2 linked regions of the Caenorhabditis elegans genome follow. The protein of the gene in region 2 interacts with the protein of the main gene of each other region in a pairwise test. Each region holds a gene or a part of one and is shown on either strand. Other genes may lie near its edges. The genes, in order: npp-13 and npp-11.

Region 1 (5,049 bases), 1.7 Mb from region 2:
GGACTTCCTCATAGAATTTTTCGCGCTCCATTAACAATCGCCTTGGGAAAGTCGTGTACTCCACACGGACAAATACATTTCGTTTTACAACGAGCCGCGACGCGACACGCAACGCACCGTAAATCTACGCCAGATATGGCCTGACCTAGTTCGGCAAAAACTCTTCCATTTCAATATATGAGGGAAGCTAGAATTCCGTGTTTCGGCATAAAAATCATTATAAACGAGCACGGAACTCTGGTTCCGCTCATAAATTGAAATGGAAGAGTTTTTGCCGAACTAGGCCAGGTCATATCTGGGGGTAGATTTACGGTGCGTTGCGTGTCGCGTCGCGGCTCGATTTTTGTTGTAAAACTAAATGTATTTGTCCGTGTGGAGTACACGACTTTCCCAAGGCGATTGTCAATGGAGCGCGAAAAATTCTATGAGGAAGGCCAGAACCCCCTGTTTTCCATGGTCTCCCGGAGTGTTCATAATTATTCGAGCACGACACCTCACGAACTCCAGAATTCGCGGGAATTCGATTCGCGCGGGGACAGCAGTTTTTGGCTATTTCCGGCTTCTATAGAAATTCTTTTTTGAATTTTTTGATTTATAATATTGTTGAGAAGCATCATACGAATTGAAAATGTGTAAAATTATGAAATTTGACCGAAAACTGAAGGTTTTACTTCAAAATCTATCAGAACCGTCAGTTTTTCGATTTCGTAGTCGTAAAATATGTCATTTTGTAGAGAGAAAAGAGTATTTTACAAAAATCGACGTTTGAAAATTTAAAATTGTTTTTATTAAAAACTGAAAATCTTTTATAAAAAAAAACGATTTTAAAGTAAAATTGTTGATTTTTTGAATATTTTTATATTAGAAATTAAAGGTGGAGTACCGAAATTTGAGACTTTGCTTTTTTAGACCTAAAATGTTCCAAAACTACCGAATTTCGTGGTGAGGCGTTCTGAAAATTTCTCAACAAAAAAGTTATGTCCGTTCAAAGTTTTGGAAAAAATGGTAGATTTTTAGCTAAAATCTCAAATATTAGCAGCTTTTCAGTGTTGCAGCGGTTGGAACTTAATTTTATTTGATTAGCACTCTTTAATACATATTATGGTAGTTTATTACGCGTTTATTCGTTGATTTAAGCCCATTTTCGGTCGATGGGTGCACAAATATAATACAATTTTGTGCACCCATCAACCCAAAATGGGCTCAAATCAACGAAAAAACGCGTAATAAACTACCATAATATGTATTAAAGAGTGCTAGTCAAATAAAAATTGAGTACCAACCGATGCAGCACTGAAAAGCTGACAAATTTGAGATTTTAGCTGAAAATAGACCATTTCTTCCAAAACTTTGAGCGGTCGTAACTTTTTTTTGTTGAGAAATTTTCAGAACGTCTCATTACGAAATTTGGTAGTTTTGGAACATTTTGGGTCCAAAAAAGCAAAGTCTAAATTTTTGGTGCTCCACCTTTAATTTAATATAAAAATACTCAAAAAAACAACAATTTTACGTTAAAATCTTATTTTTTCTAGACTTTTCAGTTTTTAATAAAAACAATTTTCAATTTTAAATTTTCAAACGTGGATTTTTGTGAAACAGACTTTTATCTACAAAATTAAATATTTTACGACTTTGAAATCAAAAAACTGACGGTTCTGATACATTTTAAAGAAAGCCTTCTGTAAAACCGTCAGTTTTTGGTCAAATTTCATAATTTTAAACATTTTCAATTCGGAAAAATGCTTCTCAACAACATTATAAATCAAAAAAATAGAAAATAATATCTATAGAAGTGCGCGCGAAACGAATTCCCTCGAATTCTGGAGTTCGTGAGGTGTGCCGCGCAAGGGATTTTAACGAACATCTCGTTCCATAGCCTGTGCTGGATTCATGGGAACTGCGGCAGGTCTCGAAAGAAGCATGTGGTTGAAGAATGCTCGATCCGTCTCCACTTTAACACGAGAAATGTCCTCGTCGAGCTGGAAAATTTAAAGATTAAAACGTTGTTTTCATGATAAATTATTAATTAATCACGGCCACCTGGAGTGTTCATAATTATTAGAGCGCGCTCGCGCGGCACCTCACGAACTCCAGAATTCGCGGGAACACGTTCCGCGGGAACAGCAGTTTTTTTTATTTTTGACTTCTATAGGAAATATCTTTGATTTTTTGTTTTATAATATTCTTGAGAAGCATCATCCGAATTGAAAATGTGTAAAATTATAAAATTTGGCCGAAAACTGAAAGTTTTACAGAAGGAAGCCACTACAGTTTTTAAAAAAATGTATCAGGACCAGTTTTGCGATTTATGTGTCGTAAAATATGTCATTTTGTAGAGAATTAAAAGTTTCATAAGAATTTTTGTTTGAAAATTTAAAATTGTTTTTATTGAAAACTTAAAAATTGAAGAAATAAGATTTTAACGTAAAATTGTTGATTTTTTGAATATTTTTTTATTAGAAATTAACGAATTAAAATTTCAAACGAAAATTTTTATGAAACTTTTAATTCTCTACAAAATGACATATTTTACGACGCATAAATCGCAAAACTGGCGATCCTGATACATTTTTTCAAAAACTATAGTGGCTTTCTTCTGTAAAACTTCCAGTTTTCGGCCAATTTCATAATTTTACACATTTTCAATTCGGATGATGTTTCTCAAGAATATTATAAAACAAAAAATCAAAAATATTTCCTATAGAAGCCAAAAATAACAAAAAACTGCTGTTCCCGCGGAACGAACTCCCGCAAATTCTGGAGTTCGTGAGGTGCCACGCGAGCTCGCTCCAATAATTATGAACACTCAAGGAGGCCGTGATTAAGTACTTCTTCCTCGTCAATATCATCCATTACAGCTTCAGGCACGTCCACGACACCTTCATCAGTGAGAGTATCCTCGGCGGTGTGACTTTTCGGCTGGCGGCTCGGAAGTTCGATGCCACGCTCCCCAAACATCATCTGCTTCTGAACTGAGTGCGTCTGACGTGTCCAGTCGCCTTCTGAACCGCCTAAAATACCGCAAAGCTCCTGCTCGACGCCATTTCGGACTGTGAATTGCTGCGAGTTCTGGAAAAAGGGAATTTTTCGGTGTTTTTAACATTTTAAACATTATTTACAAACCTCTTGGCCGACACGGTTGGTTTGGAAAATCGGATTAGCAAGCAATTGTGCGAATCCTTGATGATCAACTCTTCCGAGGATCTCCGTAAACTGTAGCATCCTGAATTGAATTAAAAATTGAGAAAATTACTGGTTTAGGTTTTTTCAAGGATTTACAACATTAACCAGTTTACATTAACCACATTTTCCAGTTTAAACCCTGAAAAATATGAAAATAATCGAAAAATATCGTTAAAAAACGTTTTAAAAACCAAATAATTCTCGTTTTTCGCGGCAAAACGAAAATTAATTTTGAAAAAATCGGTGCAACGACACTCCGAAATCCCGCATGAATCCTAGGCCAGTATTTCGAGTTCTAGGCCACCAGCTTCTTGGCACATTGCCAAGAGCTGAATTTAAATTAATTTCCGCTGGAATTGAATCGAATTCAGTACAAATTGAGTGGGAAAATGAAAAACTTACAAAAAAATTGAAAAAAAAAACATTTTCGATGAAAATGTTTCAAGAAAATTGAGTATTATTTTTAAAGAAAAACGAAAAAAAAGACATAAATTCGGGAGCGTGTCGTAGCATCCACATTATCGACTTTTCCGGTTAGAAGTACACCGCCAGATGGTAGATCGGTCTCAGGAACTCATGGAGCAGATAATAAATCACAAATTGGATGATTTGAACACTAAAAAACATTAAATTTCTTTTAAAAAAATGAATTATTTAGTGACAGTTGTGTCGAGAGCTTTTTTAATCAGTAAATGTTTTACTGGTCTATGGAAAATAATTATAAGTAAAAATTACTGGAACACAGAATTCAGAGAGCCCGTATTGCGCAACATATTTGGCGCGCAAAATATCTCGCAGCGAAAACTACAGTAATTCTTTAAATTCTTTAAATTACTGTAGTTTTCGCTACGAGATATTAATAATTTTGCGCGTCAAATTTGTTGCGCAATACGCATTCTCTGAATTTTGTGTTCCCGTGATAATTCAACAATTTTTCAGTGTAAAACAAATCAGGGATTTCTTTTGAAAGTTTCGGGTTTTTTTTCCACCACGCGGGGTACTGTGGCACCGGTTTCAGCTGTGTCAATGGGGAAATGTGTGAAATTGAAGCATTCCCAGGCATGATGGGGGTCATTTTACAGCTGAAAATCGAGAAATTCGAATTTAACGACAATTTAAAGAACATTTTTGAAATGAAAAAATTTCCAAAAAAATTGTTTTTTTTTCCCCAATTTCACTTTTTTCTCTAAATTACTCTAAAATTCACATTCTCCTCATTCTCAGCTTCAAAATGACTCCCATCTTGCCCATTTTCTGCCAAATTTCAAATTTTCGGGTCCCACCACGCAGGGTACTGTAGCACCGGTTTCAGATGTGTCAGTAACCTAAATAGAGGGTTCTTAGGCATGATGGGGACTCATAATTTGAAATGGAAGAGTTTTTGCCGAACTAGGCCATTTTGGTTCGGCCATATCTGGAGTAGATTTACGGCGCGTCGCGGCTCGGTTTTAGTTGTAAAACTAAATGTATTTGTCCGCGTGGAGTACACGACTTTCCCAGTCCGGCGGGCGATTGTCAATGGAGCGCGAAAAATTCAACGAGGAAGGCCAGAACCCCGTGTAATTTTACATTAAATTTCGCTTTTGTTGATTAGAAAAACAAGAAAATATATTCATAATTTTCTCTAAAAACAAAAAAAACCAATTTTTATAAAAATTTCGTAAAAACGGGACACTTAATTAGAGTACTACGGGGTTATTGCCTTCCTCATTGAATTTTTCGCGCTCCATTGACAATCGCCTGCCGGACTGGGAAAGTCGTGTACTCCACACGGACAAATACATTTAGTTTTACAACTAAAATCGAGCCGCGACGCGACACGCAACGCGCCGTAAATCTACCCCAGATATGGCCGAGCCAAAACGG
Region 2 (6,174 bases):
TCCTTCGAGGAATCTTACGATATTTGATGAAAAGTAGGGTTTCCAGTCTCGAAACGATCGATCTCGCAGCTACCGTACTTTCAAAAATCACAAAATACTAACATTTGACTAGGAGCTCCTAGGGATGCAAGATAAATTGATGAAATCAAAAAAGAGAAACATCACTGTAAACGTTTTCAAAATCACAAGGAAAAGCAATTAGAAATTTCTAGAGCATCAAAAACTATGATAAGGATCTTTTGATAACAATAGTGACCCCCGCAAATGGGGGAAATTCAACGAAATTCGTTGAAATTTAAAGAGCAAGAGGTAAATACTTGGGTATAACTTGGGCCACATATTAAAATGTTAATTTTTTTAGTTAAATAAAATTTTCCAAGCCAAAAAAAAAAAAAAAATGAAGAAATAAAACAATTAATTATATTTAAAATTTAATTTTAAAATGTAGAGTTAAAATACACAAGTAAATATTTTCCAAACAAGAAAATATAAAATATATCAGTGTAATTTTAAAAAACACTTGAAAAAAAAAACCAAAATATAATCAATATTTTTTAAAAACAAGTTCATTCACAAACTCAACCAAACACACAACAAAACAGACAATAACAAAAAAAATAAATAGTGTGATGGTGGTGATCATGAAGAAAACAGGTGAAAGTGTATAGGTTTAAAGAATTAGAGTTTCAATTTAAAGAAAAAATGAATATATAAATAAAAAGTAAGAATCTAGGCCTTCGACGAGTTGTTCGTTTTCAGATTGTGGTCATCCTTCAGCTTGTTCAGCTTATCACGAGTAGCATCTGTAAAATAAAAATTGACATTTAATAATTTGATTAAAAACTCTAAAATTAGTACCGTGTTGAGTGGAGAGATCCATCAGCTTCTGCAGCTGCTTCTTCATAATAAGCTCAGTTTTCTCCAGCGGGGTCTCGGTTTTCGTCTTCAAAACTGTCGATTGCATTGTGTTAAGTGACTTGGTGATTTGATCGAGATCGAAGTCCGCACATTTCATTTGGGAATCCACGTTGAGCATCATTTGAGCGCTGGAATTTTTTTTTGAAATTATTATTTTGATTTTTAAGGGGAGTAAGGTCCAGGGCTGTCGCTTTTTGCTTTTTTTCTTTCGTCTTCAAGACTGTCGATTGCATTGTGTTAAGTATTTTCGGAACAAAAAACAAAAAAAATGCTTTCAAAAAGTTTTAGTTATTATGATTTTAAAAAAAACCTGTGGATTTTTTTGCTTAAATATTCAAAAACTCTCAACAAGAAAAAAATCTGATAGTTTTATGGCAGGATTTTGCGAAATTTTGTCAACTTTTTCTTTGTCGCAGCGGCTGAAATATAGTTTTTATCGAATTATCCCGATTTATTGCATATTTTGATTATTTATCTGGCGTTAATTCGTTAATTTAGTCATATTTTAAGTCGATAGCTATTCAAAAATTACGAAAATTGGATGCAAATCGAGCCAAATCAACGGAACAGCGTGAGATAATCAACCAAAGCATGCCAAATAGGGCAATATATGAAAAAAAATCAATTTCCATCGGCTTTTACAAAGAAAAAGTTGGGAAAACTGAAGTTTTTAGCTAAATTTAATATATTTCTTAAAAATTTAATCCATTAAAAATCAATAACTTTGACGTACATTTGCACTCTCTGAACATCATGTCTCGACGCAAATCTGCTATCAAGTGGGAATTTGTAATCAAGAGTATGCCATTCTGGAAGGCTCAGCTTGTTCTCTAGCTCAACAACATTTTGCTCAATATCGTTCAAGACAGAAGTCATGGAGGCGACGTTGAAATGCAGTTTCTTGCAGCTTCCACTCAAATCATCCATCTCATTGTACAATCCTAAAACTTTTGGCTCGAGTGTAATGAGCTCACGGTCATAAGCATTAAGCTCGAGCATTTTATTATGGAATACTCGTTCCTGCTTCGCAATTTCCGAATGATAACTATTGACAACTTCTTGAAGGGCGGTGAAGAAGGCTTTTGTATCATTTCCACCGAGTCCTGCTTTGATTTCTTCTTCAGAAAGTGTGTCGCTTCCACTTGCACCAATTTTCAGGCCTGCAGATGTAGTTGCAGCTCCTTTAAGTCCTGATGTTGTCCATCTGAAATTAAGAGTTTTTTTTATATTTTTAAAAAGTAAACCAAAATGTACCCAGTTCCCTTAGCCAATGGTGTTGAAGTGAGCCCTAGGCCAAGTCCAAGAGTTGGAGTAGCTTCTGCTGGCTTTGGAAGAGTGGAAGTAGTGCTGGTTGTGGTTGGAAGAGATGGAGTTGCTGACACTGTAGATGGAGTTTGTCCCAATGTAGCGGCAGTAGCAGGTGTTGTTGTAGTTGCTGCTCCAAACAATCCACCGGTCGGACCTACAGTTGCTGGTGCAGTTGTAGTCGCAGCCCCGAACAGGCCACCAGTCGGAGCTGCTGCGGCGGGAGCAGTTGTGGTTGCTGCTCCGAATAATCCACCAGTCGGAGCTGTAGAAGCAGGCGTAGTTGTGGATGAAGCACCGAACAATCCTCCAGTAGAAGCCGCTGGAGCTGCACTAGTAGCTGTTGTGGTTGCTGGAGCTGTTCCGAACAAAGATCCAGTAGCTGGAGCTGATGTGGTGGTTGTCGATGATGCTCCAAAGAGTCCTGCTGTTGGTGCGGCTGGGGTCTTAGCAGGAGTTGACGATCCGAAGAGACCTCCGGTTGGAAGTGAAGCGGCCGGAGCAGCGGCGGTAGATCCGAATAATCCCCCAGTTGTAGATGAGGTTGGTGCTGCGGCTGCGGCGGTGGTGGCTCCGAACAATCCTCCAGTTGAAGCTGCCGCTGGGGCGGTGGCAGGGGCTGCCGCAGCGGTTGTAGAAGCACTAGAATTACCGAACAATCCAACAGATGGAGTGGATGCTGAAGCAGCACCAATGCTGAAAAGACCTCCAGTAGCAGCGGCGGGAGCAGTAGAGGCTCCGAAAAGACCACCAGTGGCTGGAGCGGACGAAGGAGCAGATGTTGGTGCTCCGAACAATCCTGATGTGGCAGTTGTAGTTGCAGCGGTGGTTGCAGGAGCGGTAGAACCAAAAAGACCTCCCGATGGAGCTGCAGGCTTTGGAGCTGCGCCGAATAGTCCACCAGATGAAGCTGTCGCAGCAGGTGCTGAATTTCCGAATAATCCAGAGGTTGGAGCAGCATTGCTAGTAGCTGGTGCAGCCCCGAACAAACCACCAGAAGGAGCTGGGGCTGTGGAAGTTGGAGCAGCTGAAGATCCGAATAAGCCGCCGGATGGAGCCGCTGTAGAGGTGGAAGTGCTTCCAAATAGTCCTCCTGGTGCTGCTGGAGCGGCCGTGGATCCGAATAATCCACTTGATGGCGCAGCAGTTGAGCTACCGAAAAGCCCGCCAGTTGGTGCAGTTGTTGCGGTACTTGTGGATGATCCGAACAAGCCGCCAGTTGGAGCAGCTGGTTTATTAGCTCCGAACATGCCAGCACCAGCTGATGGTGCGCTTGCGCCAAACGTTACTGTAGCAGGTGCTGCTGAATTTGCAGAACTTCCAAAAATGCTCGTTGAAGCGGGAGCTGGCGCCGCGGCACCAGAATTTCCAAAGATTCCAGCAGACGCTGGGGCTGGAGCTGCAGCAGAGGAGCCTCCAAACATTGAGCCTGAAAAATTTAAAATTATACTTTTTGAATACGGGAGCGTATTTTACAAGTTTATTAAACCAAAAACCTACCAGTAGCTGTGCTGTTTCCGAAAAGTCCAGTACTTCCAGTGCTCGGCTGTGCGGATCCAAAAGAAAAACCTCCGGTAGTATTCGTGTTTCCGCCTAAAAACGAAAAAAATAAATTAGTTGAATTTTTCATCGATCGATACCTGTGTTCGCTGTTGATGTGCTCGAATTACCGAAAGAAAATCCAGATGAGGCTGTTGTGGTAGCAGCGGTTCCTCCGAAAATCGACGGTTTTGGTGCAGATCCTCCAAACATTTGATCTGGAATGATATTTTTAATATTTTTAAAGGGCAGCAATATTATTTGACAAAAAGAAAACGACAGAGAGGCAGAAAATAGTCATTTGAGTGCACAAATGAGCGCGTCGAGATTCGAAAAATGATTTGGTGGTCGCGCGAAAATGATGGCCTAAAAACACCGCAGACTAGGCCGGCGGCTGGGAGGAGCACGCGACGTCGGCGTGAAGGAGAAAAATCGAAGATAATTTCATGTGCTGCAGTTAGTTTGAAAATATAAATATTTTTGGGCCCGAATGTCTTTGTGGTTTCTATTGCTATTCTAACTTCTCGATTACAACTTATAATATTGATCCATTTTTTATACTGATATTTTAAAAAAGTTATGAAATGTGAAGAAAGATCTCGATCATCGAAACGATGAGCAAGCTTCTGAATATGCAAAGTTTTCTATCACAAAGGGGTAAAAACGCGGGAGAACCTTTTTTTCCTGCTGACCAAGTACTTTTCACGAAGAAATACTTTAATTTTTGATGAAAATAAAAAAGAAAACTATATACAAACTCAAAAATCTAACAACTCTCAGCGATCCACGCAAATTAGGAAATTGAAAACAAAAAGAGAAATTTGTGTACCGTAGTCCGAACACTTAAAGGCGCATGCCTCACCTTCAGGGTCTCGCCACGATCCACTTCCCAAGGGTTTTATTTTTATTTTTTTAGATTGTTTTTTTTCGCGAAATCAGTTATTTTTTCGGTGAAAAAGTATATTTTATTGCTTTTAAAGTCAAATAACTTTTATTAAAATATAGTTTTAAATTATTTTGACGTTATATGAGTGAAACATTCAAAGTCCACGTGCTCTAAAGTCTGATTTTAAAAAAAAGTTTTTTTTTATTGCTTCGCCAGTGAATTCGCTGACACGTAAAAATAATCAATATTTTTAATAGTTCAATTTCCTCATTGTTGAATTATTTAATCCACGATGCATTGCACCGAGTCCGTGAGAGCTCTTTATCTGCGGCAACACTCTCGCATCGAAAACAGAGAGAGAGAGAAGCAAATCTATATCCTCCCGTTCTCTCTCATCTCCTTCACTTTCTCCTAGTGTCCACTGTCATCATTTTTGCCTCCCATCACTGCTTTTTGTCCTCTCGTTCGCTTATTTTGATATGGTCATCAGCAGCATAATCGGGGGGTCGGAAAATAATCAATATATTTTATTTTCTTTTACGAATCCTCTTTTTCTTAGATGAAATGCTCCTATTTTATCAAGCTACCGATTTCAGTTCGACTAATGGAATGATTGTCGATTTAATACAATCAGCTCGACAGGGTGAATGGGCCCAAGTACGCCAGCTGCTGCTCAAGCACTGGCTTGTACAGGTCCCAGAGGTGTTCGAAGTGAATTCGGATTTGCCATGGGACAATACAGCCGCGAATGAACGAATTCTAGGTGGGTTTTTTTGAAAAAAAAAACATATATATTAAAAAGCCAATTTTGCTTCAGGTTCCCAAGGAGAGATTCTCCTAGCCCCACTGGTCAGTGCATTTGTACTAGACGTTCGGAACACAAAGAGCACACTGGAAGCAATGAATGGCATTGCCGGAGTTGATCCTGCAAGACGGGGACAAATTTGTGGCCATGTATTTAAAAACGGAGAACTTACGTATACATGTCTGGATTGTGCCACTGATGGGACATGTGTCATGTGTCTTCAGTGTTTTGAAGTTTCAATTCATAAATCTCATAAATACAAAGTGAGGATGCCTCAAAATGAATCAATTTCCACAGAAAATTTCTGAAAAAAAACATTCAGATTTTAGCCGAAACTTGCCCTTTTTCTCGAAATTTTAAACCAACATAGACAAAATCTTGAAAAGTTTTTGATTATTTTGAGCGAATATGAATGATAAAACACGCATATTTAAGTAAATCCAATTTATAATTGAAAAAAAATTTCCAGATGCACTCTTCCTCCGGTTCGGGATATTGTGACTGTGGTGATGCAGATGCATGGACAGAAGGTTACGCATGTGCAAATCACGAGAAAAAGGACGATGAAGAGGCGGCAGTGTTGGCTCCAGAATTGAAAAAACGATGTGAACAGCTGGTGGAAATCATTTTACAGTTTTCCCTTTCAATGATCACTCATAAAGATGATCTCAAACTTCCCGAAATTTTCGAGAAAATGAAGCCAGAGGTTACAAATGAGGCA

The links.
Region 1: the proteins of npp-11 (region 2) and npp-13 interact in a two-hybrid assay, tested with the Caenorhabditis elegans proteins (one study listed by BioGRID).

The regions. Positions count from the first base shown.
Region 1 is NC_003279.8:2,095,520-2,100,568, reverse strand, and holds the start of npp-13 (Nuclear pore protein), read right to left. Parts: upstream 3,224-5,049; 5' UTR 3,223-3,223; coding exon 3,124-3,222; intron 3,070-3,123; coding exon 2,830-3,069; intron 1,980-2,829; coding exon 1,863-1,979; intron 1-1,862.
Region 2 is NC_003279.8:3,815,880-3,822,053, reverse strand, and holds npp-11 (Nsp1_C domain-containing protein), read right to left. Parts: upstream 3,981-6,174; 5' UTR 3,976-3,980; coding exon 3,864-3,975; intron 3,817-3,863; coding exon 3,724-3,816; intron 3,653-3,723; coding exon 2,173-3,652; intron 2,123-2,172; coding exon 1,652-2,122; intron 1,047-1,651; coding exon 859-1,046; intron 804-858; coding exon 730-803; 3' UTR 558-729; downstream 1-557. Other genes in the region: E3 ubiquitin-protein ligase ubr-1, read left to right, coding at 5,258-5,411, 5,466-5,716, 5,923-6,174.